Drosophila melanogaster: one gene and its partners. The protein of the gene in region 1 purifies or fractionates together with the protein of each later gene. This does not show direct contact. Each region holds a gene or a part of one and is shown in the gene's direction. Other genes may lie near its edges.

What was found. The genes of interacting proteins can lie anywhere in the genome.
Region 2: the proteins of HP1c (region 1) and woc purify together in Drosophila melanogaster (affinity purification with western blotting; 3 studies listed by BioGRID, with this or other methods). This does not show direct contact.
Region 3: the proteins of HP1c (region 1) and row purify together in Drosophila melanogaster (affinity purification with mass spectrometry; 4 studies listed by BioGRID, with this or other methods). This does not show direct contact.

Annotation. Positions count from the first base shown.
Region 1 is NT_033777.3:22,743,352-22,747,579, forward strand, and holds HP1c (heterochromatin protein 1c), read left to right. Parts: upstream 1-2,268; 5' UTR 2,269-2,365; coding exon 2,366-3,079; 3' UTR 3,080-3,148; downstream 3,149-4,228. Other genes in the region: vret (vreteno), read right to left, coding at 10-203, 260-444, 507-1,323, 1,389-1,799, 1,863-2,173; CG17141 (uncharacterized protein), read right to left, coding at 3,149-3,921, 3,977-4,175.
Region 2 is NT_033777.3:27,257,799-27,266,675, reverse strand, and holds the start of woc (without children), read left to right. Parts: upstream 1-2,620; 5' UTR 2,621-2,899; exon of another isoform or gene 2,900-2,941; intron 2,942-3,224; 5' UTR 3,225-3,283; coding exon 3,284-4,121; intron 4,122-4,188; coding exon 4,189-4,449; intron 4,450-4,515; coding exon 4,516-4,560; intron 4,561-4,727; exon of another isoform or gene 4,728-4,732; coding exon 4,733-6,585; exon of another isoform or gene 6,586-6,626; intron 6,627-6,690; exon of another isoform or gene 6,691-6,795; coding exon of another isoform or gene 6,796-6,819; intron 6,820-6,878; coding exon 6,879-7,954; intron 7,955-8,017; coding exon 8,018-8,403; intron 8,404-8,467; coding exon 8,468-8,593; intron 8,594-8,657; coding exon 8,658-8,779; intron 8,780-8,837; coding exon 8,838-8,877. Other genes in the region: l(3)mbt (lethal (3) malignant brain tumor), read left to right, coding at 1-173; CG14260 (uncharacterized protein), read right to left, coding at 392-679, 728-1,189; CG14262 (uncharacterized protein), read left to right, coding at 1,270-1,947, 2,001-2,261.
Region 3 is NT_033778.4:15,207,378-15,216,291, reverse strand, and holds the start of row (relative of woc), read left to right. Parts: upstream 1-2,657; 5' UTR 2,658-2,802; coding exon 2,803-3,685; intron 3,686-3,736; coding exon 3,737-4,566; intron 4,567-4,624; coding exon 4,625-4,715; coding exon of another isoform or gene 4,716-4,720; exon of another isoform or gene 4,721-5,047; intron 5,048-5,223; coding exon 5,224-6,047; intron 6,048-6,112; coding exon 6,113-6,480; intron 6,481-6,505; coding exon of another isoform or gene 6,506-8,299; intron 8,300-8,492; coding exon 8,493-8,914. Other genes in the region: CG8093 (uncharacterized protein), read left to right, coding at 692-784, 857-1,960; Ir51b (ionotropic receptor 51b), read right to left, coding at 6,506-8,299.

The DNA of each region.
Region 1 (4,228 bases):
CCTAATTACCAATTAAATCCAACTGTGTGGTCATTATAGGGAAGATAAACTGCGGCGGATAGGGACGTATGTCGGTGACATGTGTTGGCACTATGTTTCCGTAGTCAATGAACAAAATGCTGGGATAACCATCTCCTACTAACTCCACAGAGAGACCTCGACGCCATTTGCCTTCGTACTTAGCTATGCAAAGCTCATTTATCCTAAATGAAAGAGCGCTTTAGTTAAATGGACAAAAGAAAACGGCGAGTAACTTTACGGCGGTGCGTAGGTTGCGCACTTGGCAATCTTTTCACCATACTCCTGTATGTCTCGCTGCATTTTGGTGACTTCGTAAGCCAGATCTATGGAGGTGCAGTAGATAAAGCCGCACTGGATGAATGTGTTGTCCATTACCACTACATTTATGTTCTTTCCGCAGTGCAAGGGAATGTATGGAAGACACTGAAACCGAATAAATGCAAATGACAACTGTGTACTTGATGTTTTTTTAAGTTCTGGCTTACGTCCTCTTTGTATCCCAAGTCCGAGACAGACGGCTCAACAGGAGTTAGGATGGTCTTGAAAAGGCGGTTGAGGCTCCTATTAATATCGATCTCGGTCATCACCACGACCTGCATGCCCTTGCTGGTATCGTACTCACGTGACGAGTACTTGATATTAAAAACTAGGGACTGGTCGAGTTCGTACATGACTTCCCTTATGTTGGGACCCACAAAGCGCCTGGGAACTCCGCGTAATTTAACGGCTACGGGATAGCAGGTCAAACCAGCTAAATACGAACTGCATTCATACAGTCTTTCCAGCTGCGTGACTTCAACACTTCCGAAATCAATGAACACTACATAGATTTCCTTGATATTATCCACGTTTAGCACCATGGCGCGCGACATATGTCCCTCGAACTTGTAGAGCACAATTTGTCCGCAGACTGGCGTACTCTGCAGTTTGGAGGCATCTTTGCCCAGCATCATTACCTCCGTGAGAACTGTATAATAGGCGATGTCAATCTGAATGTCCGCCGAGCGCACATAGACCACGTTAGTCTGCTCGAATGCAGTAATTCTCACTTTAGATCCAGACGGCGGCAAGCCGGGTTTGGGGTACTTCCGGCCCACCTTTTCGTCAAGGTTAAGTATCTCACCCTTGCCGCAAGCTTGCTTATGCTGCTCTGCCACATCGGCGAAACAGGAGGCATTGCAGAAGGGCATTTTGCACAGCTTGCAGAAAGTGTCTGTCCAGTTTTGACAAACCACGCACTTGCTGACGCCGTCTTCCAGCAGGCTTTTAGTTTTATCCTCTTCGGTGACAGCAACCGTTGACCTGAGTGATGCAGAAACTATACTCGTTAGCTAATCAAGGGCACGTGACCAGGTGGCTATACTAACAAAGGAATCGTTCTGCCCGAACGAAAGTGCAGAACGACCTGCGGGATTCTGGTCTCATCCTTAAGCTTGTAGATATCATGGCGCTCCAGTGCGAATTCGTACTTTACATTGAGATAGCGTTGAATGGGGTCGTTGGTGGCCAACAATGAACCTCTTTTGTAATCATCTTTGGTGACCAGCGGTGGCCGGAAGAACTCCGGATGATTTTGTCCTCCGGTCGAGATCGGAACCTCTCTGTTGTGATTCACTGGCGTACGTTCAGTGGCCGAAATTGCTGGGCCTGGTGTTGGCATTGGCTCAGTGGAAGTCACCGGATCGCTGGTGATTTCCCGCTCCTTTTGCGGGCGACCAGTGATGCACTTGATCAGGTTCGGGTAACGCTGCACCCGCTGTTGCGCTGTCTCCAGGGATCTGGAAAAAGGATTATACGCTCGAAATATTGAATGACCTGCGAAAGTGCTTGAAGAAACTCACGCGATATTTTCAAAGTAGACAAAGTATACGCGTGACAAGCGGCGGAACTCCATCTCCTTGATGAGCGCCCGACCGAAGAAGTTGATTAGCATCTTTTCGGTCACATAGGGACTGCTTTTTGGAACCACCAAGTATGGATACTTCGCCTGCCTGGTGGCACGTTGCTCCTTTTCGTCCTTTGGCGGCAGCGGGGCTTCCATGATTAGTTTCTGGCCAGACTCGTTAGTGTAACGGTTGCCCACTTGGTCATAGTATTCCCTGGACATTGGATCGAATGCGGACCAATCATCCTGCGAGGATTCGGATTCCATTGCACCTGAGCTTTAAAATTTCACCTGAATTCGAATTGCAAGCGCGTGCGAGTGTGACCGTTTTCTATGCTGTCAGAAGTATGTTGCTATTGTAACTGTTGTTGAAGTCAGCAAACGGTCACACTGGCACTAGTGAAAAAAACCAAGCCGATTTTAAATATTGTAAACAATCTTGTAAAAACACAATAAAAAATGGTTAAAAACGAGCCCAACTTCGTGGTGGAGCGCATCATGGACAAGCGCATTACCAGCGAAGGCAAGGTTGAGTACTACATCAAGTGGCGTGGCTACACGTCGGCGGACAACACCTGGGAGCCCGAGGAGAACTGCGATTGCCCGAATCTCATCCAGAAATTCGAGGAGTCGCGCGCCAAGTCCAAGAAGCGCGGCGAGAAGAAACCCAAGTGCGAAGAGATCCAGAAGCTGCGCGGCTACGAGCGCGGCTTGGAGCTGGCCGAGATCGTGGGCGCAACGGATGTGACGGGCGACATCAAGTATCTGGTGCGCTGGCAGTTCTGCGACGAGTTCGACTTGGTGCCATCGGCACAGATCGTGGAGAAGGATCCGCAAATGCTGATTGACTATTTCCAGAAGATGGCACCTTACTCCCGTCACATTGCGATGCGAATGAAGGGCGTGCCGGAGGAGCTGCGTTTGGCGGCCTCGCGCACCAGTTATCCGCACATTAGCAGTGCGCCCGTCGAAGTGCCGCCGGAGGTGGATCAGTCCGCTGAGTTGGCTGGACATCTTGGTGGAATCGCGCCACAGGTGGACCAGGCGCCGCAGCACCATGCACCCATGGATCTAGCCAATGATACCGACGATTTGGCTAGTGTTTCGTACTCGATTCCCGTGCCCGGCGTTGGCGACATTGCCATCGATGTGCCCATGGCGGAAAATCAATAAGGACGCGAGCAGAATCGACTGTTCAGTCTTTAATCTAAGCCCCTAAGTTTAATTCATACATATGTATAGCTATCTGAAACCACTGGGTTCGTCCAGATTCATGTGACCCAACTGGCCGGAGCGAAAGAAGTGAATGAACTTTCGCGCGGCCGCCAATAAATTTGTCATCACCTCCACGCGTCCGTCGTACTGCTTGACCTTGTGGAATAGCTCCTCCCGATGAGCGTACTCCGCCAGCACGGCGCTGATGTCGTCACTGGGTCCGGAGCTGAGCTTTAGCATCTCCACGTAGTCGTATTTGCGGTGGCTATTCAGCCAGTACAGCAGATAGTCGGCTATCAGATCCTCGCCCACAATATGATCGGGAAGGCAGCCCACCAGGGCCAGTTTCATGCCCATTTCATCATCCTTAATGGAGGGCTGGAGGATGCCGGGTGTGTCGATCATGTAAACAGGCGGATTCTCTTGGATTTTGATGCGTTCGCCGACGGATCGAGTTATACCCGCCTCGGCACCCACGCGTGCGGCGCTCTTCTTCTTGAGATGCACATTTCGCAGCACATTGATCACGGAACTCTTGCCCACATTGGGCACGCCGATGATCATCAGATTGTGCTCGGCAGCTTGGGTGCGATTGAAGCGACTGCTCTCGCTCACGAGGCGCGTTGCCAGGGGCAGGATGTCCAGCACGCCGTTGTTGCGCTGATCCTTGCAGTTGGTGAACAGGATGTGCTGCAGTTCGGGCTGCTGTCTCCTCAGCTGCTGGAGCACGCTCTTCTGCTGTTTGGCGCCCAGCAGATCGACTTTGTTCAGCACCAGAATATGCGGTTTAACACCACTTCCTGGGGAATATGAGTCCCGTATTAAGTGGCAGCTTATGGTTGTAAACGTACTCACCGGTGATTGTGTCAAAGAACTGGGAGTTTCTGCCCGCCAATGGGATGCGTGCATCGTGAATCTCGACTATGCAGTCTACATTTCGTAGTTTTTGCTGAATTTGCCGCATACCCTTGGTCATGTGGCCGGGAAACCAGTTGATGCGCTGCTTGGACGGCAGCCGGAAGGCATTGCGGAATGGATTCAGCTGCGCTGCCATGATGCGGAATCCATGTAATGCTAGCGAATCCAAATCAAAACTTTCAAACAGCT
Region 2 (8,877 bases), 4.5 Mb from region 1:
GGGACGACGATGACGACGAGGATGTGATGCTCGACAGCGATGACTTTCTCAGCGTTAAGCCGAGCTGCCTGGTCATTGACGAGGACGCCGATGGGGATGGCGATTGTGAATCCGACGGCGATGTGGCGATGGTGCCGATGGAAGTGCGCACGCCCTTGCGCACGTCCTCTTAGGACTCCGGATACCAGGCATCCGCTTCCGTTGATTGATTTATAAGATTATTTTGTTGCACCGGCCTCGGCCCATTCGGGTATTATGTTTATAGGTAGTATTTATTCTTTAAGCCGATATGAATTCGATTTTGTTTGTTTTTCGATCCCTAATCCAATAAATGATCCCTCTAGATATGTACACCATCCTGTCTATTTCCTTGGGTGGTAAGCAAACCTATCTATTCCTCCGGCGAAGGTTTTTCTTCTTCGGGCACAACTATGGTGCCATCCACTTCGAAGAGAACGTGACCGAACAACTGGGTTACCTCAACGAGCTGCTGGAACTGCTCCATGTCCTCGTAGCGCAGGTTGTTCACATCCTGGTAGTTCTTCAGCGAGGTCAGCAGTTCGTGATCGGAGAGATCTCCATCCTTTTTCAGGATTATCATCAGAGCCTTTAGCTCCTTAACACTCAGCTTGAGGAACGAGTTGTCCATGAGCACCTGCGTGGCTACGGGGAGGATTTTCTGGAATGGTATGGGGATTAAGCGAGATAAAAGTGCGGAAATTCATACTTTCGCCACGAGATCCATCAGTGCCGGATGGTGGTGCTCGCTGGCCAGGTGGAAGACCTGCAGAACCACCTCCATGGGCCACTCCTGGTGGGCCAGCTTGTCGATGTAGCAGTCGATGAAGTCCAGCATCTCGTAGCGCTCGGCCAGCAGCATGAGGTCACCGCACATGTCGATGGTCACCGCATTGCACACCTCGTACGTGTAGATGTAGAGGAGCAACGCCTCGTAGGCGGTGGGAGAGGCGTCGTCCACGCTGATCACTCGCTTGTTCTTCTGGAACTCGGGATCCCTGATCAGGCGCTCGAACTCCGCGGAGGCGGAGATGAGCATCACCTGGTGGCAGCGGAAAATGCATGGACAACGCTTGCCCTCCTTCAACTTGTCCGGTTGCGAGACATGGAGCTCGCAGTCCGACTTTTGGCCATTCCGCAACAGGTCCAGGCGGCGTAGCTTGCAGTTCATAGTGACTGGGGATTTTTTGGAGGCTTTGCTCTCACATAGCACAAAATTTGGAATTCGAAATTAGGGTTTCCCTGGCAGGAATGTCAGACTCTGAGAAGGAGGCCGCCGGCAAAGCCCACCTGGGAAGCAACAATCGGTGGTCCGACCTGGAGGAGGAGGAGGAGGGTGAGGCGAACGACCAGGGAGGGATCCAGAACTTGAGGCCGGAACTCGTTGTGCCCAGAACCACAGCTGCATCGGATGTTGAGGAGAATTTACCATTGGGTTCTCCGAGTGATGGGTCCAAACGCGCTACGAGTAGAAACCGCAGACTGGAATACTTTCGCAGTGGAGCCGATGCCGATTGCCAGGTGCACGTCCTGAGCAACTGCCCCCAATCCGATGAGCCGGCGGTCAGTGTGTGCTACAAGAAATTTGGCTGCCATCGGATCTTCCTGGCCACTGCCTCCGACAAACTGGAGCAGGACGTGTACCAGAACAAGGACTGGAACGGCGTACTCCAGATCAATGGGGTTTCGCCCGAGAGCGTGGAGATCTTCCTGGAGTTCATATACACCTTCGAGGTGACCTCGCCGCTGGTCCAGCTGAAGCTGGTGGGGGATATGTTCATCCTGTCCTGCGCGTACAACATGCCGGAGCTCCTTCGCTCCTTTGCTGAGAAACTAAAGGAGCAGGAATTGCCTCTGGATGGCATCTTTCCTGCCTTCGACCTAGCATTCCGGCATAACATCATCGATGTGGAGCGCGTTTGCATCGAGGTTAGTAGATTGGAATATAAAATGGAGCCTTAATTTAGTTAGTTATCCTTTAGAAAATCATAGAGGAAGGCGCATCATTGATCCACGAACCCAGTTTAATGAAACTCCCGGTCTATGCTCTAAACTACGCCATCCAGCACTGGCTGGTGGCGGATGCAGTGCCTCCCGATGAACTCATCACGATTTTAAAGCAGTATCAGGAGATCAATGAGATTACATTCGCCAACACGCAAAAATTCCCGCACTTCACCAAAATTATCAAGTATTTCCCCAATGTTCTTCTGGACGCCGAGGGATTCATCAATCAAAACTAGAAAACTACTTGGAATTCCCAAAAGCTTCGCGCATAAAACCCAAAAATTTAAAAAAAATAAGCCAATAAAATATCAGTTCTCATTAGCATTGTATTGGGTATCTTTTGCATATGGCAAACTGGAAGCTCATCTAAGGGGAAGCTTAGATGAAAGACAGTCTATATTTAAGTTGTAGTTTTCAATAATTTCCTATTGATCAAAAGCGATCCAAACTTTAGAAGCATTTTTCAAAAAGATAAACGAGCAGTGCTGCCAACCGGTTGCACCACTCACGCCGGTATTTTCTTATGCGCCATTTTCGGTATTTTCCGGCAGATACCAGCCAAGAAGCGAACGCGTTATGCGAGGGCCGCATTTGGTACACTAGTGCGCCATTTTACTCGCATAAAGCCGAAAATTCACACAGTGGCCAGAAAGCGAGAAATTGCACAGTGCAAAAAGGTGTTTGGTAATTGATGAAAAGTTTTGCGCGTACCGTGAACCGACCGTTAATGATGTGCCCGCACGCGCAGCGGTGAAAGGCAGTTAATTCGCCTGTGGAGACGCGCTCACCACAACAAACTCGTGCTGTCCGAAAAAAAAAGTCGGCGCTCGGATTGCGGATTATCGAAGTACCGTACGGCAAGGCAGCAAAAAAAGTACGGAAAAGCCGCCCATGCAACGCGGCCAAAAAAGATAATGCAAGTGCAGTAATATTAATTGCCTGGCAGAGCGGCGCATACAGACACACTCCTCCTTTTTTCCCCACTTTTTTTGTTCTCTGGAGGCGCATGTTTTGTTTTTTCGTGCACTGTACCGTGGGCTCAGTGTGTGTGTGTGTGCGTCGGTGTGCCTGTGCGTGTGTGTGTACACATTTTAGGCGGCAATGGTGTGGGGCCCTGGCCAGCCGATAGTCCGCCGCGCCGCGAATGTTATCGATAGACGAGCCCTAACCATTTGTTGTTTGTTTTCCTTTTGTTGCAGTTTTCATGTCTATATAAACAAACGTACAGCGAAAGTCGGTTAAAAAATCAAGCAGCGAAATGGAGGAGATATCCAGTTTGGACTCGTTCGGCGCCGATTCCAATGCGCGACCGGAGTCGGCCACCCCCAGGTCGGAGGAACAACAGGATCAGGATCGACAACAGACTGCTCCGGCGGCCAGTGAAACTCTGGATACGCCCGCCTCGCCGCCAGCGGAGGATGCAGCTGCGCAGGAAAGCAAACCGCCTCCTTCCAAGGAGGCGGATGACGACTTCGAACAGATCTCCGAGGGATCATTAGACGCCGATGATAACCAGTCGCGGGATAAGGCGGCTAGTACACCAGCTGATCCCGTGGATGCGGAGGAGCCCGCCGAGGAGCCAACGCCCAACGAGGAGCCGCAAGGCGGTGAGGATGAGCAGCCACAAACAGAAGCCGTGAGGGTAGATCCACAGGAAGAGCCCGAGGAGGCGGAGGAGGAGACTGATGCCCTCCAGGCCACTGCGGAAGAGGTGGAGGCAGCGGCCGCCGAAGCAGATGCTGTGGACGGCGGTCCCGCTTCACCCGAAGCAATGGATGTGGATGAAGGCGAGGTGGATGCAGAAGGTGAAGCTGAGCAGGAAGCAGAAGACGACGCAGCTCTGGATCGAGAGGCGACAGATGATGTAGATATGCAGTCCGTGGGCGCAGATTCACACCAGGCGGAGGATGCAGAGCCACCGGAGGGCCGAGATGAGGTGGACACAAGCTTAGAGGAGCAGGAAAATGGCCAAGATCCTGATGAACGGGAGAAAGATGCGGCCGCCGATGAAGATGATCCGGATGCAGAAGGAGATGCGGAATCGGAGCAGGTGGATGAAAATGCCGAGGAAACTGGTGAGGCCGAACATGGCGATGGTAAGTCTTAGTACTTCTTTGATGCATGTTTATAAAAGACTAAATGAATGAACTATTTACATTATAGACACAGTGGAAAATGTTTTGGAGCCAGAGGAATCAGATGTTTGCCTTATTCCCGATGATCAAGAAACGGAAGTGACTGAAGCTGAGAAGGAACTGGCCCGCGAGAATGCCGAGAAGGCCGCCGAAGAGGAGGAAGCCGAGGAGCGGCAAGCCAAGACACCCGATAACGATAGAAAGTCCCCGGCAGATGCCGCCGCCGATCCAGAAGACGACAGTGCAGCTGCCGTTGACGCCACCGACGTATCTCCAACCACGCCAACTGGTAAGTGCTCCACACTAAGACTTGAAATGCCCTATCCCACATCTACTCTATCCATTTTGCCTGCAGATGCTCAAGCTGGAGCTAAGTCGGCGGCAACAGGCATTGCAGAAGGTGAGCAGATTGGGTTAATTCCTGGGCAAAACTCACTAACTGCTTCATTCGACTGCATTCTATTCATTTAATTCTTGCTTTAAATTTAGTTTGTTATTACAAAATTGGCTCCTAGCATACAGAACGATTGCTTATTAAAATGTATATAACGTAAATCCCCTTTTTTTGCCAGCAGATGGAGTAGCTGCAGCAGCTAACGAAGAGGAGGCCGGTGGCGATGTTCCCGATCCCGACGAGCCCACAGCCGAGGAATCCTCCAGTGCCGGAGCGGGTGAACCTGGTTCCACGCCGAAAATCATCATTAGTTGGATCGTTGGCAGCGTTCAGAAGTGCAAACAGTGTGGCGATGAAAAGAATTGTGGGTTTCGGTACAGGAGTCCAGAGGAGTCAGAAGAAATGGATAAGGAGAAGGAAAACGATAAGGCAGAGGAGAACGCTGAGGAGGGGGAGGAGGAGGAGGCTCGGCAAAAGCCTGCTGCTCCCAGTGGGTTCGAGTACATCTGCGATACCGCCTGTGTCGACGCCCTGCTAGAAGATCAACCCGGCAAGTACTTTGTACGCCGCAAGAAGTTCCTGGTCGAGGAAGTGGTTCGAGAAGAAGGCGCCGCCGAAGCGGAGGCTAGCGCCGATGGCGAGGGCGGAGATGCCGAGGAGGAAGCTACTCCAGCCAACACGCAAGATTGCCTGCAGTGCAAGGATAAGACGCGGTGCAAATATTTCATTAAACAGGACCAGGACTGCTTCTACATTTGCAATGACGATTGCTTCAATCTGCTCAACGCTGAGGAGCCAGATAAATTCAAGCTGAAGCGGCACTCGATTCGAGTGCGCAACATTGGCGCCACAACGCTGCAGCCACCGCAAAATTCGCCCACCAAACGGACCGACGGCAGCGTGGTGGCCAGGACGGTGGAGGAGGCAGAGACGGCGCGCCTGGACAGGATCGAAAGCTTCCGAAGGCGCTGCGCCGACTGCGAGGCGGATATCAATACGGACGAGAAGCAGCTCATGTGGGAGACCATGGACTTCTGCAATGAGGTGTGCCTGGGCAGCTATCAGCGCACCATTGGCTCCACCTGCGAGACCTGCAAGCAGGAGGTGAGCTCCATAGCGCTTGGCAAGTACTGCGTGCGATTCGGTTTCGATGTGCGGCAGTTCTGCTGCGCCGGCTGCCTTAACACCTTTAAGAAGGGTCTGAAGACGTGCTCCTGCTGCCAGAAGGACATCAGCGGCGGGCAGGAGGGCTTCCTTGCCCCGGTGGGTGACAAGGATCAGTTCAAGGACTTCTGTTCGCAATCCTGCCTCCGTCGCTACGAAAGCATGTGCAATCCCCGACGAAAACTACGCACCGATGTCTGCGGTGTGTGCAACAACCAGAAGCCAGTGAGGGTGGAGATGCTGCTGGAGGACAGAGAGCACTACTTCTGCTCGAATCCCTGCTTCTCCGCCTTTAAGTTTGTGAGCAACGTGAACGCTGATCCGTGTGCCATGTGCTCCAAATACTTTGAGCGGCGGAGCGCCGAGTCCTACACCATCTACAACGAACAGCAGTCACCGAAGGTCTTCTGCTCGCGGGTCTGCATAAATGTGTACATCATCGTCAACAGGCACATCGTCTCCTGCCAGTGGTGCAAGGTGAAGAAGTACAACTTTGACATGATCTATCAGATTGGTGGGCCGCACGATCAGGAGACGCTCACCTGCTCCATCAACTGCCTGACCATGCACGGCGTTAGCTGCAACATCTCCGCCAGGGCGGTTACCAAATGCGACAATTGTTCCAACTTCAATACGCCACAGTATCATTTGACCATGTCGGATGCTTCCATGCGCAACTTTTGCACCTACCAGTGTGTGATGCAGTTCCAGAATCAGTTCGCCCGCGCTCCCCTCACGCTGGACAGCGACCTACCGCCCAGTAGCGCCGGCAGCTCCAAGTCCCAGCAGCAATCCAATCGAGGCAACAAGAATGCGGCACCATTTCCCACGGGCCTGCCCAAACGTGTCAAACTGAAGCTCTCCCACGTGAGTCAAAAACTAAATAATAAACTAAAAGGGTACACACTGGGTTTTTTTTAAGTTTTTACAATCGAATGATAGCCATGCAATAAGTGTTAAAATATTGAACGTAAACGAAGTATTTGCAATTTTTTTTACCTGCTCGCTTAATTATTAATACATTTACTTCAATTTGGCTTTCAATTCAAGTTTCAATTGCAATCCTAATTTCATTCAATGTCCACCAAAATGGGAATTAACGTAAATTAATTAAGTATCATACCTAAGTTGCATATAATTAATGTCCCCGATAATTGCAGACTGGAAAAGGTGGCGTTGGAGGCAAGAAATCCGGCTCCGGCACCATGCTACCGGTTATATCCACGGTGCAATCGCTCGCCAGCGGCGAAACCGAAGCCCGGATCGGCAATCTGACGGTTCGTCGCAAGCGTGGACGTCCACGGGAATCGGGAACCTCATCACCGCCGCTGTCCATGCCGGGTGTCCATCCGCCAGCACAGCGAGGAAGGCCACGCAAGCACGCTGTAGACTACTCGGCGCGTTCACCATCGCCCACGATGTCAGGTGGCAGCTCCCACATGGGCATTCCGGTCAGGCGAAATACTACCACGACTATGGATTTCGGGCCGGCTACGGTAACGGAGACCAAGATCATCACAGTGCCACCATATCCCAAGGCTGTGCGAAACGTGAACATAAGCTGTAAGCCCTTAACGGTGACCCAGGGCGAGCAGTGTAGTCCGGATGTGCGGGATTGCGCCACCCAGACGGAGAAAGACTACTCCAACAAGGTGCTCATCCCGGTTCCGGTGCCCATCTTCGTGCCGCAACCCATGTACATGTACTCGGCTCCGTTCCCCGTACCAGTGCCCATTCCGCTGCCAATCCCGGTGCCTATTTTCATACCCACCACGCGCAACACCGCGCAAGGCATACTTAAGGAGATCAAGAAGATACAGGACAAGATGCCAGAGGATCCACTGGAGGCGGAGTTGCTTATGATGGCCGAGATGGTGGCAGAGGAGAAGCACGAATCGGACTCCGATTCGGACAACGAGATCAAGCCGGATCCGGGCCTGGTAGCTCTGCAGTACCAGAACAGCCTCGAGTCCGTCGCCCAACAGCAGCAACAACAGCAAGTGGTGGACGTTAGCGGAGCCGGACATAATCCCTACGGCGACGATATGCTGCAGATAGCCCTCAAGATGGCCACAGGCGACTACGACAATCATCACCAGACCTCGACGGTGGATCTGGAAACGTCGATGACGGCGAATACGATCAGCAGCCAGTCGCCGATGGGTCACGACGGAATGGGTCAAATGGGAGTACATCATCTAGATCAGCAGCATCACATGCTTGATGCCACGCAGCGGTGAGTTAAGAGAGATGGCAATCAGAGATCAATACTCAAGTACTTAAATGTGATGACTTTCAGAACCGCACGTGGACGCAAGCGCGGCGTAGGCGTCGTCATGGACCCACCCAACCGCAACAGCCGCTCGCCGGTGAAAAGGCAGCGCGGCGGCGAGATGGATCACTCGGCCCTGCAGCAGCAGTCGCAGCAGGCACAGCAGCCGCAGGAGAAGCCCGACGCCCAAATGTTCCTGAAGTACACCTTCGGGGTGAACGCATGGAAGCAGTGGGTGATGACGAAGAACGCGGACATCGAGAAGAGCTCGATGCGCCGGCGGCCCTTCAAGACGGAGCTGCTTCAAATGACCGCCGACGAGTTGAACTACTCGCTTTGCCTCTTCGTCAAGGAAGTGCGCAAGCCCAACGGGACGGAATACGCGCCGGACACCATCTACTACCTTGTGTTGGGTATGTAGTTACTCCCCAGGTTTACACATGTACCATTTGATTTTATTGGAATCTCTTCCTTCAGGCATTCAGCAATATCTGTATGTGAATGGACGCATAGACAACATATTCTATGATCCGTACTACGAGCGGTTTACCGAGTGCCTTGACGAGGTGGCGCGCAAGTTCTCCGTGCTTTACAACGATTCGCGTAAGTTGAATCAACTTGAAATGAGTCAGTTCCAGCGTAACCACATCTTTATACACCTAAACAGAATACATTGTCACTCGCGTGGAGGAGGAGCACTTGTGGGAGTGCAAGCAACTTGGCGCCCATTCGCCGCATGTTCTGCTGAGCACGCTAATGTTCTTTAACACCAAGCACTTTAATCTGACGGTAGGAGTAAACGATGCCGCATTTGTTGACCTGGGCTAAATTGCGTTTGGTTTTTCAGACCGTGGAGGAGCACATGCAGTTATCCTTCTCGCACATAA
Region 3 (8,914 bases), on another chromosome or scaffold:
CTTTATCGGCAGTTAATTATTTATTTAGTTTTTTATTTATGTTATATTTCTTGTGTGCCGGACGTCGCTCATTCCCAAAATACAAAATCGCCTGTCAAGAAAACGCAACATTTTTACGAATATTCCAGCTGGCCACACTGATTGTGTCAACATGTTTACCGCCTATCGATTTTTGGACTTATCGACCGATTTTAATTTAAACTAATAGGCGCGAATTTTAATTATAGTAATCACTTTAAAATATTTAACTTAGAACTATGTGTAATATTAAATCAATTAATTCTTTTTAACATATTCATTTAATATACTACATTTATTGAGTTTTGTCCTTACCGGCTTAGCATGTCAGTTTACAGACTGATGTGGGGTCTTTTAATGTCCAGTTTGCCGTACGCCCAAAGCAGGAAATACTAATTGCTGATTAACTCTTAGCAATTATACCTAATCAGCAGTTATCAAGATTATAGGAGACCTTATCGCTGATGACCACTAGCCATTCGTTAAATCAACTGGGATCGAAATTCCCACACGATCTATCAGTCTTGGCGAATCAAACCATTTTGCAGGCAAAAATAAACAGTCATAAATTAGGCAGCCAAATCTAGGAATCCTTATCAAGTTCCTGGGGGGCATATAAAAGGCACGGGCGGCCAAGTCAGCGGTCAAAGCACCTGCACCTGTGGAATACAAAATGTTGGTGGTTCAGCTAATTGCGGTTTTTTTAAGTCTGGGCTTGGCTAATGCCCTGCCTGCGGATACGGGGCGCGCCAGTTCGGTGACAACTGTAAGTTTTAGGATGCCATGTTCTTTGGCACCCAAAAGTCCTTACTAACCACTATATTGCTCTACTTTCCAGGTCACCATTGTTAGGGGACACGGTTACGAAATCGAGGAGCACGAGGTGCAGACCTCGGATGGTTACATCCTCACAATGCACCGCATACCGTACTCGAAGAACACTGGGTACGATGGGCCACGCCCTGTTGTCTTCCTTATGCACGGTCTGTTGTGTTCCTCCTCGGATTGGGTTCTTGCTGGACCTCACAGTGGGCTGGCATACCTGCTGTCCGAAGCGGGCTACGATGTGTGGATGGGTAATGCCAGAGGCAACACCTACTCCAAAAGACACGCCAGCAAGTCGCCGCTGCTGCAGCCCTTCTGGAATTTTGAGTGGCACGATATCGGAATCTATGATCTGCCCGCTATGATGGATTACGTCCTTTACTGGACAAATGTGACTCAACTTACGTATGTGGGTCACTCTCAAGGAACCACATCCTTTTTTGTGCTCAACTCTATGATTCCGCGCTTCAAGAGTCGCATTCGATCTGCTCATTTGCTCGCTCCTGTGGCCTGGATGGAGCATATGGAGAGTCCTTTGGCCACGGTCGGTGGACCACTGCTTGGTCAGCCCAATGCCTTCGTCGAGCTCTTCGGCAGCGCCGAATTTTTGCCAAATACACAGCTAATGAACCTGTTCGGGGCTCTCCTCTGCAGCGATGAGGCCATTTCACAGTTCATGTGCACCAACACCCTATTCCTGCTGGGCGGCTGGAACTCGCCATATATCAACGAGACCCTGCTCCCAGATATTATGGCCACCACTCCGGCGGGATGCTCAGTAAATCAGATCTTCCACTACCTGCAGGAGTACAATTCCGGATACTTCCGGCAATTCGACTACGGATCTACGCGCAACAAGAAGGAGTACAGCAGCAAGACCCCGCCGGAGTACGATGTGGAGGGCATCGATGTGCCCACCTATCTCTATTACTCTGACAACGACTACTTTGCTAGTCTGATTGACGTGGATCGCCTTAGGTATACCATGAACCCGAGCGCCCTGAAAAGCGCATATCGCATGCCGGAAGAAAAGTGGAATCATATCGACTTTCTGTGGGGACTGAATATTAAAGAAATTCTTTATGATCGGGTAATTAACGACATAAATAATGCATAAATGTGCGCTGGAAATAAAAAAAAGCGACATACGTTTTTGTGACATTGTGATAAAAAAAGTTCCATTGGTCACCACTTCAACGGGGGCTTTTGGTAGCTAATGAACCGATAATATACGAGTGGTCATAAATTCAAATTGATTTGGTGACACTTCACGGTGACTGAACAACGCAAAACGAACTAGCCTGCTAACATTTTTTGCCTTATAAGTGCACCTGCTAAATACAATGGATTATATTAAGTGTAATATAATAAAATATAAGCTGTACTAGATATTTTTATTTTATTTGCTGATTGTGTACTGTTGAGAAATATTTTGCACTCTTAGTTTGAATTGCGCGCCAACTTTCAGGGATGAAGCATCTTGTAAAATCATCGATAGACTTTCAGCGTTTTTTGTGGTAGTCGATAGTCCGCAACATACTGATCATAGTAAAAAATATCTGTAATGTATATTTAGGTGGGAAAATATATTCATGGCATTTATTTATACGTTAAATCAATTCTTGTTATGATATTCCTTAATTGTAAAAAAATTTTATTCTTGTTCTTATTAGCAGAATATAAAATTGACCAGTTTACGTTAACACTTTTTTTTAAATACAAAAATTTGATTTATATTTGTTTATATTTTAACGAACCGATGTGTGGTGCACCACTGTGCGTGTGTCACGACAATACCCAAGCCGATATTATCGATGTTTTCATCGATGTTATTTACTCGAGCAGGTACATCCACGCAAGGAAAGCTAATTCGAGCGAAAAAAAATTTACTTAGCTCTTAATATTTTTAAAAACAACGCCCTCGCTGGGCCAGTGGTCGGTTAACTAGTTAGCTGTAAGATGACGCGCGTAACGAGAAGTGAAATCTCCCTGGACATGGAGTTCTGGGTGGAGGAGCTGTCGCCGGCACAATTGGCGTACTACGAGAAGATTACTAACGAGCACAACGCGGTGAAGGGTGCACTAAAGAACGCGGTTAGCGCCAACGAGGGCAAGGAGCTGTTTAACGGCCAGGTGTTCCAGGCCTACTCCTTTAAGGGCAAAGTGCTGCAGGAGCTCAAGGAGGCTACGCTGCCCAAAAAACCACCCAAGCCGACGGACTCTCCCTCAACACCCGCCGCCCAAAGCGGTGGCACAGGGCGGGGTCGTGGCCGCCCACCACGACAACCATCCAACATCGCCTACCTGGAGTCCTCCGATGAGGGAGACGACGATATGCCGCTGGCCAAGCGACTGGCGCTGTCTGCAGGCAAAAAAGCAGTGGCCGTGGCCAATGCATCTTCCTCGTTCACCCCGAAATCCAGTAAGAAGGCTGCATCCGCTGCTAGTGGAGGATCTTCTTCACCGGTACCTAAGAGCAGTGGAAAACTATTTAAGGAATCCAAACCGGACATCGAATCGCCGCCGAAGAACTACCGCCCCGCCGAGGTTAATTCGGTGGGCGGTCTGGTGGTGGGCAGCACCGACGAAAGCAAGGATAGCAAAGACGGCAAGGATGGCAAGGATAACAAGATGCAAGGAAAGACATATCCATCTCTGGTGGTGCTAGCAAAGCCTTTTCTCAAGATCAAAGACATGGCTGCCACCCGCAGCAAGCTGGACTCGAAGGTTAAGCTGGTGCTCATGCTTACGCCCAATAAATTCTGCGAGTGGCTGCTCCAGGAGGGATTGCTACGCGCTCAACAGCATTGCATAAACCATCGCAACAACGAGCTCAAATTGGGTAAGAGATATATGATCAACTGAATTCGTTTATTAATGTATTTATATTTAGGAATTTATTCGGATGTGACCAAGTTTCCCTACACTGGTGGCTATGTGTGGATCAGCGAATGTTGCCCCTACCGCTTCGTCTCCGTGTTCAACAATTCCATTTTCGAAGGAGCTCAGCACCCACCCACATTCCTGTTGAAGTTAATTTACCACTGGGCTTGCCAGACCAGTATTCAAAATGTGGTGCAGTGGGTTAAGGTGGACAGTGTTTATATCAAAGGAATCTACACCTGGCTTAGAGCCATTTGCACTTTGGCAGTGCATCAAAAATGCAAGAAGCTGGGCGGTCCCGGCAAGTTTGTGGAGGTGGGTGTTATTTCCCTAGGAACCACATCCCAAGATGGCTCCCAGCGACAAGTGAAAGTTGAGGTTCTGGGCGTCTATGATTATGCGGAGAAGTCCATCCGACTGCGGGCTGTAGAGCCAATCACCGATGGTGATCGTAACTACAAAAAGCGATTCCAGGCCATTCTTGAGCCACTGTCGCGCTGGGTGCACAAGGACAGCACCATTTGTATAGACTTGACTGTCGACAAGATCACCCTCTTCAGCATGGGATTCAAAAATATTGTCCAAGCAGCTGCCACTGACAACACAGCCAAGCACAACAACTCAGCGGTAATGGAATATTTGCGACGGATTGTGCCGCGCATGTTCCAGAACACCCTATCGTTGCTATCTCGCCAGATGATTCAACAATTCCTCGACGAGTTGGTATGGCGAGAGTCCTTTGGTACATATGCCTTGCAGGCATTCAACAATATCATAATACACATTGCCGAGCAGACAAGAGTAACCACCAATGAGACAATCACTCAGCGTCTGTATCAGGTAAGCAGAATCGAAAAATTTTTATTAGCGATTAGCCTTTAATAGCTCTTTCGTTTAGGTGGCAACCAATCCGTTCAAGGACTGGAGTATTTTGCCGGCCAACTACAAGGAGACACCTGCCAATGCTGCTCCCAAGCGCCTCAAGAAACGTTAGTACTATCGTACTTTTGTAGCAAGTTTTTATTTAGGCCGTGAATAGAATAGTGCGTTATGATAATCTGTTAAGTGCCTGCGTTTCTCACTCCAAACTGAAATGTTTTCGTTTTGTTTGATTAGTTTTGGTTAATCGAACCCAACAGCTGAGCTCAGGTCCACTTATTGTGTTATGTGAATTGTGAATTTATATAATCTATATAGGTGAAATGTATCATTGATATATTCACATATGTACAATTTAAGCATTACTTCCTGACATTTCTCGTGTCTAATTATTTTAAAACAACCCCATTAGAGAAACCATAAATAAACTTGCAAGAAATTTAATAACTGTTTTTATTTGATTTCCTTTTTCATTTGGAGTGATAAAACGCAAGAAAGAATTTACTAATTAAATTGATTGGACCCATTCCACCAGATTCAACAAAAATGGACAAATATGTAATGTTTAAGTTTGTATGTTGAGATTACATCTTTTTAAGTTAACATCTTCAATTGCAGCTATCAACGATGCTGACTACGTTGTTTCTAACAAGATTCCCAAGAAGGAAAAGGATCGTGATATAGCATCATCTGGAGTCAAGCGCGGCCGTCCACCGAATGCATTAGGCACCCCACCACCTCAATTGCCAATTAAAAAGGGTCCAGGTCGGCCGCCGGGCAGTACCAACCAGACAAAAGGAGACAGAGCAACGACCTCGTCATCTAAATCACTGTCTAAATCTCTGATAGCTAAAGGCCTTGGTAAAAAACCGAAAGAAAAAGATGAAAAGATTCCAATGGTCATTAAGAAAGAAGAGGATGATCTAAGGGGCTTGGAGGAGCTGTACTATGGAATAAGTGATGGTACGGACGAGTACCACGAGATCTTTCCATATAGCACACCCCGTACGGTTCACAACGAACTGGCCAAGACCGTGGAGTGTCCAATCTGCCTGAACGGCGACTCCTTCGATTCCAATGAGAAACTCCAAACGCATTTAGTATCGCATATTTCGCCAGAGGGTAAGCAGCACCAGTTCCAGTGCCTTTTTTGCTTGGAGAAGCATCCCACCGAGTCGGTTTTGGCCAAACACAACCAGATCATGCATCCAACTGAGACAAAAACGGAGGGTTCACCCTCGTACTACTGCCTAATATGCCAGCAGCGTCACAATTCCCTGCATCTGTTGACGGCTCATTTGCAGAAGGTCCACAGCACCCTGGAACTACCATATTGGTGTCACTCCTGCGGCTATCGATCATCTTCGCACCGCGATTTGGTCAGGCATTTTTATGACGACCACAAGCATCAAAACTTTTTACAGTGCCCCTATTGCTTGGATGTAAGTAGCTGTCATGGTAAAGTAATCTTGTAAAGTTCTCTCTATTAAAAACTGATTCTTTTTAGATTTTCTACTTCTCAAAGCTTGGCGTCGTTAACCAGCTGCGCATAGAACATTACTTCATGCATTTGGACGAGCACATCAACAAGCGTGATCCCTCGCTGCGCTGCCAGAAATGCTCGCTATCCTTCCTCGAGAAGGGGGATCTAAAGCAGCACGCAGTGCAGCATCATGTGAGCATGACTAAGACCAATAGACCGGTGCGTCTCTTACTCAACAACTCGATGTTGATACCACCGCCAAAGATTCGCACCCATCACCGCGAGCAGCCGCCGTTCTCCACCTACAAGCGGCCAGTATTCTTTGCTTTTCTGGAGGGTAAGACCTGTGCCGAGTGCAACACCGATTTCGCCAGCGAGGAGACACATTACACGTAAGTTCAAAAATATTTTATTTACCTAAGCAATAAATCGCCATGGATAAAGGTGCCAGTATTCACAAGAGAAAACCAGAGCTGACAGTATCCAACCAATTCCCAAGACACACCAGCCCAGTCTCAAAGTATCCACATCGATACTTTGATAGCCCAGGACGTTATCTACAAACCTAACGTATCCAGCACGCATGGCATCGTTAAAGTCGGAAACTACCCAGTGATTCAGCAGTCCAGTATCCTGAATCTTCAATATGAAATGGTTAAGGGATGTCTCCAAGTGGCTGTCAACGCGCATTGGATAGCCAATATGTGGAGATCCCAAGCAAGCAGATGAAAAGCGAAAAATCGGCTTAAAGGCATATTGCTGTTGCATGGCAAAAAACTGCCAACGTTCTTCTGTAAAAGGGTACGCGAAGCTGCGATTAAAACTCAGCAAAGCGGACACCTGTTCACTGGCATTTACAGGCACCAAAAGCCGAGATACTTTTTCCACTAATCGAGGTTCAACATGGCGCAGAAATGTGTTAATTTCATACTCCTTGACGAGCACCCTTTGCTGCTGGTGGACAAGCTGATCCATGCTATTTACTTGCTCGCCCACTACTATGGTTGTGAAGAAGCTGTCCAACTCAATGTTGTACCAACTTGTGGACATGAATCCCAGGACTGAAAGTTGTAGGAAAATAATCAAATGGCGCCATGTTGGTCTGTAAATTGTTATAGGGGGGCTGATAAAAAGTATCTTGCTTATCGCATCTAGAAAATTCAATCCCAAGCGTTGCGGCCAAGAACTTTTATTGAGTTTCGGGCTTATGCAATAGAGAATTCCAGTGATGTAGAAAACTGCGAATAACAGAATATACCAGCTGTACAATTGGAATGGTCGCAATAGGTACATGTGCCTTGGAATCTCATTTCTCATGGGCACAATCAAGCAGTTTGGATATATTAGTAAGGGGTAACTCTTGGTTGCTGTTGGGGGTGTGAAAACGTACGGGTGCAAAGAGATTTCCAATTGACCGTCTATAATCAACTGCACAATGTGGTTCATATTCACACTAGTTGTTGGGTCTAGATTCTCATCTGGATTGGTCAAACGCAGCGAGGCATTATAGTGATCCAAATATTCCACGAATGTGCGATATGCGTATCCCAGCACCTTTCTGCTCTTCGTTAATGGATCGTGCACATGAAACACTCTCGGAATATCATTTTCCGCCGGAGTGGATACTACATATCCATGGAAATTCCTTGCTGCATGTGGAAATAGCGGTTCCGTATGAATATCGAGTTTGAAAAAACGCATCGCCGGATACGGAGTGTAGGAATAAAGCTGATCCCTTTGCAGGACAAGAACGTTGAGGAATTGATATTGCCATAAGGCGTTGAATATTGATTTAATAGCACCTTGCGAGCCACTTCTTTGATTACGCAGAATGATGATCAATCGAATGCGACGGAGTTTTCGTAGATTTCTATCCAGAGTAAGCCACATGATATCATGTTTATCATGACAAAAGAACAAAGCTATGCCATTGTATCTAGTGATTTTAAAATGACCAAGGGGTCTTATATGTTCAGGTTGGAGAAATAAATTCATTGTCAAGCTAGTAACTCCCATTGTTTGATGGAGCCAAATAATCAAGTCGTTGAGGTCGCCTCCTTGCGTATTATGTCCGACGAATATTGGTGTATTTATCCACGGCTCCCGTGTAGAGATGAGACTTAGAACGGATTTCAACAATGTCACATTGTAAGCAGCGTTTGTTAGCGCCAGTAATAAAATAACGACCAATAAGGTTAACACTTTGCACATGGTGGTTGATTCAATTGTGACAAGCCAGAACCGCGGGTTGAGGTTTATAAGTCAGCAGCTAATTGATTTAATAGTGGCTGATTGATCTCTTGGGGAAAACTCATTAGAATGTGTGAGGCAATAATTTGTAATAAAAGGTTTTGGCGCTCTACGCACTCATTTAATCACTTTTTTATATTAAATCTTTTCCCAGTGGTTGGCTACACTGCGTTAAGTGCAATTATCAGACATGTTGCGAGCGAGCGCAATTCCGTCATGGCGTGGAATGTAATGGAAACTTTGTGGACGCCATGGAAGTGAATATGCCACAGGAGATGCACTGCATCTGCGGCTTTGCCACCGGCAACGGCAACAAGATGGCTCAGCACTTGGCAAATTGTGGACTTAGCACCTGCTACCCAAGTTTGGAGGCTGCCAGTGAGAATGCCGTCAAGCGTAATATGCTGGACATGTTGGGCCTGGTTCGACGCGATGGAGAAACCTCTGGTGAAGGTGCAGATATTAGCGAGACTGCTGATGATGTCGCGGATCAGAGCTCCGACATGTTGCCGCCGCAGGAGGACCATCATTTGCAGCAACACCATCAACAGGTGGGACATCAGCAACAGATGCAGG